Linked DNA regions of Cricetulus griseus. The main gene of each other region encodes a partner of the protein of the gene in region 2 in a complex. Links are inferred from orthologs where the notes say so. Each region holds a gene or a part of one and is shown on either strand. Other genes may lie near its edges. The genes, in order: Hcrt and Hcrtr2.

Region 1 (3,041 bases), on a different chromosome or scaffold from region 2:
TAAGCCAGGTGTGGTGGAGCACACTTGCAATTTCAACAGCCCTGGGGAGGTAGAGGCAGTAGGATCATTTAAGGTTTAAGGATCATTTAAGTTTAAGGTCATTCTGGTCATTTGAGGACAACCTGGAATACGTAAGACCCAGGTTTGGTTTTTTGTTTTGTTGTGTGTTTTTGTTTTTCGAGACAGGGTTTCTCTGTATAGCTTTGGAGCCTATCCTGGCACTAGCTCTGTAGATCAGGCTGGTTTCGAACTCACAGAGTCTGCTTCTGCTGGGATTAAAGGCGTGGGCCACCACTGGCTGGCCAAGACCCGTTTTTAAAAGAAATAAACCAATAAAGTAGATAGTAGAACAACGCGGGACACATTGGTACCTCACTTCCACTCCCCCACCCCAGGCTTGCACCTCAAGACTCTTCAAGGCTCCTTGCACTGGGTTCTTCCCGACCAAGTATTTAGGACAAAAAACACAAGCTCCTTCTGGAGCCCTAGAGCCTTCACAGTTCTCAAGATGCTTTCCCGCCCCTCCCCGCCCCCTGGAGGCCTGAACTTGACACACGGGAACAAAGAATAGCCACACCAACAGAGACTCGTCTTTATTGCCGTTTTCCTAGAGACTAACACTAGCGAGCAGAGGGGAGAAGATAGGACCAGGACACAGACTGAATACAGGTTCAGACTCCGGACCCGCCCCGGGGCGCTAAAGCAGTGGCGGTTGCGGACAGACAGCGGCGACCAGGGCAGGGATGTGGCTCTAGCTCTGCGCCTGCGCGACGGCCCATGGTCAGGATGCCCGCAGCGTGGTTGCCGTTGGCCTGCAGAAGGCGCTGCAGCCGGCCCTGAAGGCCTGGGGGTCCAGGCCGCCGCTTTCCCAGAGTCAGGATGCCCGCGGCATGGTTGCCAGCGCCGTGCAACAGTTCGTAGAGGCGGCAAGAGCAGGTCTTCTGGCGACAGCAGTCGGGTAGAGGCTGGGCGTCCACCCCAAGCGACAGCAGCGCTGGCGGCAGCAGTAGTAGCAATAGCAGCGTCACGGCGGCCCAGGGAACCTAAAGGGGACAAGAGACAAGGCGCGAATGGGTTTCAGTCCTTACTCAGTCAGCTCCGAACCTCTCCTTGCCTGAGATTGTGCCTGGCTGTCACTGTGTTTCCTGCATCTGGCTCCTTTGTCAACTCATTCTTCAATCCATGGACTAGCCATCTCCTCTAGGAAACCGTCATAGACTTTCACCAGTAGAATAAGTTTGTCCCTTGGAAACATATTTAAAGGCTTACTCCTCCACCTGCAGACAGGTGTGTCTGAGTCTGTCTGAACCAAACATGTAAGCTTAGCAGAAACAAAGAGTTTATTTAGTGTAGTCCTTCCCTCTACACACACAGCAGGACTTTGCCTTTGCTTGGGAAAACTGAACACTGTGGCTATGGACCAGTTTCTTATCCCCTTGGGGCAGCCCCTTCCTCACTACAAAGTAGGCATTGAGCCATCCCTATTACCTGATGTTGTTGAGTGGAAGACATAAACTGACAAGCGAAAAAGCTCTGTAAACATGAGCCTCTAAGAGAATAACTGGCATGACTAGTGTTAACCAAGCAGGCTGCCTGCCTGCCAAGATCCCACCCAGACTCCTGCCTCAGTGCAAGCACTCCAGTGGCCTGCTTTGATGAGGCTCAGCCCTATTCCTAGCTCTTTACCTTAGTAGAAAGAAGATTCATGGTGTCTGGAGTTCAGGGCAGGAGAATCTGGAAAGATGATGTCTTCAGTGCAGAGGTCCAAATACCCAAGAAGACTGATGCCGTGTCGACTGTGGCCTGCTTCCAGGGGCCAGGGGTTTATAGTGCTCTGAGGTGTTGGGGAGGGCAGGGGAGACATGAGCATTTGTGTCCACTTTAAACCAGACAAAGGCATGTCTAAGATTAGCATCTTGCAGTGGAGCCGTCTCCAGGTTGGACCCAAAGAATGGCTGCCCTGTCCTTGGTCCCCCGCTTGTCTGTCTGCCTGTTCCTTGGAGATGGGACGGTCTCCTGGTACTAATGAGGCTACCTTGCACCCAGGAATCTTGAGTTCACAAAAGAGGCAGTGGCTGGGGCACTGGCCAGAGACAATGGGGGAGGGGGTGGTTACTAATTAGGGGCAGAAAAAGTGGCAGCCTGAGAACCGTTGTTCATTGTTCACGGTATGTAGAGGGTGGGGGAGTAGGGAGGATACCTGGGTAGCATTCACCCCCCCCCCCAGCTCCTTGTCACTGACTCTGGGGTCCATCAGTTTCCAGGGCCTTTCCCTCCATGGAAACAGCTCTTGACCGGCCCTCCCCACCCCACAGTTCTCCATTTCCTCTGTCCCTTTCACCAAACTCCTCCATGGAAAGTCTTGGAGACTTACTGTGGGCGATGGATGAGAGAGCAGCCAAGCCTGGTTTCTAGAAGCTGGTGGAGAGCAATGTCTCCTGGGCCACACAAGAAGATATTGAAGTCTTACTCTGCCATCTCCAGGATTGAACCATCATGGAACAGGGCGTGAGGGTGATGGATGTTGGATAAGGGAAACCGACTCATGCCACTTGCAGACCAAGAAAGCTCTCTGTCAAGGCCTCCTTAAGGATCTCTTGATATAGATCAGTTCTGCATGAGCACAGTGACAGCAGTGTGCTTAGAATGTGACCTTATTTTCTTTCTCTTCTTTCCTTCCTTCCTTCCCTCTCTCTCTCTCTCTCTCTCTCTCTCTCTCTCTCTCTCTCTCTCTCTGCTTTTTAAGAGGGGGTTTCTCTGTGTAGCCCCGACTGTCCTGGAACTCACTCTATAAACCAGGCTGGTCTCTAACTCAGAAATCTGCCTGCCTCTGCCTCCCCAGTGCTGAGATTAAGTGCCTGACTGTGACCCCATTTTCTTAGCCTGTATATATGGATATGTACCACATGTGTGCCTGGTACCTGTGAATACCAAAAAAGAAAAAAACAAACACACAAACAAAAAGGTTGTAGATTCCCTGGAAGTGGAGTTATGGATGGTTTTGAGCTTGTACCAAGCCCGTGACTTCTGCAAAAGTAGTA
Region 2 (3,824 bases):
TCTGTTGGGTGTCCACCAAGAAGACTTGTAGGAAGAAATGGGTCAAGGTCTTGTATGAGACAATCACAACTCTAATTCTCCTCACTTAATTCAGCCTCAGCAACTATTTCATCTCTCTTTTTTCTTTCATTCATTCTTTCTTTAAATTTTGGTAGGATTTCATTTTGTAGGGTTTCCTTCAGTGCCTTGATGACCCCAGAATTCACTATTTAAAACTAGGCTAATCTCAAACTCACAGAACTCTGCCTACCTCTGCCTCCTCCTTATCCCAGCAACTATTTCTTGATGTTTTTCTACATACTAAGTATTGAAACAATAGAAAGATCAATCAGAGACTGTCCTTCGACTTGACATGCAACCCAAAAACAGCACAGCCCTTATGAATAGGAAATACAGTGTCAGGTCAATGAGCTCATCTTAACCTTAGATGAAAATTCCCAGAGATTAATGGACTGAATGACGACAGTACAGCCTTAAACTCTCTCCTTTTCAGCCCTGTATATGGACTTTTTAAGTGTTAATTATCTTGAATTTTCTCATTGATACCTAGTGTCTTTATTCATTCCCCATCTCTTTTTCTTTCTCTATCAGTCTGCGTGGCAGTGTGGAAGAACCACCACATGAGGACAGTCACCAACTACTTCATAGTCAACCTTTCCCTGGCAGACGTGCTTGTGACCATCACCTGCCTTCCAGCCACCTTAGTTGTTGACATTACTGAGACCTGGTTCTTTGGACAGTCCCTCTGCAAGGTCATTCCTTATTTGCAGGTAATTCTTTTTTGGGCCCTTTGAGAAATTATTTTAAATGTTTTCTATTATAGTCATGACCATCTGGTAAACTAGTTAATTAGTTAAGAAATAAGTATAAATATTCAGAAAGTAAAACACTTAAAGAAGATAATACTTGAGATTTGCTGAATATACAAGTTCAGTTCTAGATAAAATCGAGGCAACAATGCTGTTAATATTTCACAGTCTTCATTACTAGATGAATCATTGAACAAAGTAATGATTTAGCCTCCCCTAGATCAAGTAGCCATGAGCATTTGTTTTTCAATAATCAAGAATATCAGGGTTTTTTGTCTAAATGGTTTCTTTTCATCCTAAGGAATTAAGAGTTATGTGGATCAAAGAGGGGCAACTTGGGACATCAGTTCCGGGTTTGGAATGTCTGTTCTTCCATCTGTAGATGGTACCCTATCAAGTGATGGTACCCTATGTATTCAAAGACTCTTGGCAACTCACTAAAAATGGTAATTTTAATAAGATCTACCTCATATATAGCTGTTATGACAGATTATTTAGATCATTTACAAGAGATTCTTGCTCTGTGATTACCTCATCATGAACTTAAAACAATGCATTAAGAGAGTCAATGACCAGTATCATCACTAGATGTCTCTTGTCAACAGTACCACTGAGACATCTAGTGAGTAAACAGCGAGTGCAGTCTTTCTGTATCTGTTGACAAATTAAAAAAAAGAACAAGTACTTTCAAAAGAATTATTTTCTGACTGTATTTATGAATGTAAAGTCTTTATTAAAATATTCCTGTTAGTGACCATGGCAACACAATCCTAAGAGCTGTGTTCACCTTAGGAAGTGGACAGTGAAGTAAAACACAGGCTGTGTTCCTCCTAGGAAGCATATAGTGAAAGAAAAGATCAATGGTCCCTCTGTATCATCCCACAGTCCCCATCTACCCTTGTCCTTAGTCCCTGCACCATTCTAGGTGGTGATCACAATGTTTCCCAGAAGAAATAATGGGCCTCACGTAAGAGAAATTTGGAAGAGGTCACAAAAATCCATTGCTAGAAACAGTTTTATTTATTCTTTAGAAAGAAAATGTTAGAGACTTCAATTCAGCAGCTCCTTAATGATCTCTTAGACATAATATGTTTTAAACAGCTGACATCATTTATAGTATATGTGGTGATGCCATAGAAATTATAAGCTACATACAGACATAATGTTTAATTATAAGGTTTGTGGGCTAGCATGCTGAGAGCCATCAGTGGATTACAAAATAAACTGTAATAAAATTTGGGGAAATATTAAAATGAATAAAAGGAAGAACATCCTCATCATAAACAATTAAGTAAGAATCTATGGTAGGGTTTATATACAGGTATGGTTGAATTTGCACACAGTAACTGAAAAAAATCCAAAAGCAGAAGAAAATTCTAACATCTGAATATTCTTCCTGTTATTTCCAGTAAATTGTATTTCTCTAAGCTCAGTTCCGCTAATTATCCAAGGGGATATGTCTACTCCCTTTGGTTTCAGGGTAGTTTCAACTGTTCAAATCCTTGGTTGCCTGACAACCTTCATGGTATCTATCTTATGAACCAGATGTTTTGATTGAGAGGATGACGGAGTGAGAAAGTATCACATGTGCCAGGAGTGTGCATTCTGGCTCTGATACAATCATAGCTTGCTGTGCCATGCACCTCCAAGTCTCCAGGGAGGCCAGAACAAAAGACAGGAAGCAGCATTAACAGCAAGGGATGCAGGCAGGGGTGGCTCCTAAAGTCACTGGCATTGGTCCTTCCCCCACTCCCACCCCAAAACAGTTTATAAGCATGTTCTAGAAGTCAAAGGACAAACAGAGATTCTGGATCCTGCATAAACAGTGTCCAGTTCATCCATCTCCACAAGAGAAAACCAATGTGTATTCACAGACTCCAAACAAACTGTACTTGTCCTGTAACTCCTTCAACACCTCTTGTTAGAAGCTTAGAAGCATGCCAGGGCTCTTCCTTTTGTGTAGAAGCCTTGAGTTAAGCAGTTTTGTATCTCAATTAACTCTAATTCTATAACCCCTAGCCCTGACCCTATTAAGGATAGCTCCATACATCGATTATGTAGGAATCAGCAGGGTTGAAACATTTATTTCTTTACATTTCCAAGCTAAAGAATCACTTACATGGTTATTCTCATAAAAGTCTATACTGAGAGGACATACATGTTTTTAAGACCAAGTTACTAATTGTCAGTGAGCAAACTATAGCACACATACTCATGTTCAGAAATTCTCTTTTAATATAGTCTAGACCTTTATTTGTGTGCAATGCATTGAAAATAAATTGGACCAAATTACCTATTGTTATTAGAATTTGAAAAAAGATACCCATGACTTATTTATGCTGATGAAATGCAACCAGTGAAAACCTACACGATAACTTAAAATACTCAGGTCATGCCATTCTTTTTTATTGAAAGAAAATACACCCATGTATAATTTCTTTCCCTCTGAGAATACTATTTACACTATCAGTAGAAAAGCTATAAAACAGAGTAAAGATAATAACTATTCACAAATTATAAGCTGAGCTTTTAATGTGAGAAAACTGAACAGTTTCAAAGTACCTATTTCACATCTGAGAGGAAATAAAAAAGTTTTCTGATGCATTTCTAGTTTTCATCATCCATTTTCCTAGCATGAAAGTCATTTGCATGAACACATAGAGTAGGCTACCCTGAATTCACTTTGCTCTGCTGTAACTACTTGGCTGATAAGGCAAATAAATGCTCTCACTTTATATTTCTGACACCCAGCAATTCTCTTGAACCATGTTCCTTTCTCCCCTCTAGACTGTGTCAGTGTCTGTGTCTGTTCTTACATTGAGCTGCATTGCCTTGGACCGATGGTATGCAATTTGTCACCCTTTGATGTTCAAGAGCACAGCCAAACGGGCTCGAAACAGTATCGTCATCATCTGGATTGTCTCCTGCATTATAATGATTCCTCAAGCCATTGTCATGGAGTGTAGCAGCATGCTCCCTGGCTTAGCCAATAAAACCACCCTCTTTACAGTATGT

Evidence for each region.
Region 1: the proteins of Hcrtr2 (region 2) and Hcrt are in contact, whole or in part, in a cryo-EM structure (PDB 7L1U), measured with the Homo sapiens proteins. The link is inferred for Cricetulus griseus from reciprocal best matches to the Homo sapiens genes HCRTR2 and HCRT. Residues at the interface, in NP_001371201.1 of Homo sapiens: Thr111, Val114, Trp120, Pro131, Gln134, Thr135, Val138, Gln187, Val209, Cys210, Asp211, Phe227, Thr231, Ile320, Ser321, Asn324, Lys327, Arg328, Phe333, Ala334, Thr336, Arg339, Val342, Tyr343, Phe346, His350, Tyr354; in NP_001515.1 of Homo sapiens: Asn89, His90, Ala91, Ala92, Gly93, Ile94, Leu95, Thr96, Met97.

Annotation. Positions count from the first base shown.
Region 1 is NC_048600.1:113,801,325-113,804,365, forward strand, and holds Hcrt (orexin), read right to left. Parts: upstream 1,708-3,041; coding exon 1,687-1,707; intron 1,044-1,686; coding exon 672-1,043; downstream 1-671. UniProt on the Homo sapiens protein: Neuropeptides that play a significant role in the regulation of food intake and sleep-wakefulness, possibly by coordinating the complex behavioral and physiologic responses of these complementary homeostatic functions.
Region 2 is NC_048597.1:187,448,615-187,452,438, reverse strand, and holds part of Hcrtr2 (orexin receptor type 2), read left to right. Parts: intron 1-591; coding exon 592-770; intron 771-3,596; coding exon 3,597-3,824. UniProt on the Homo sapiens protein: Nonselective, high-affinity receptor for both orexin-A and orexin-B neuropeptides. Triggers an increase in cytoplasmic Ca(2+) levels in response to orexin-A binding.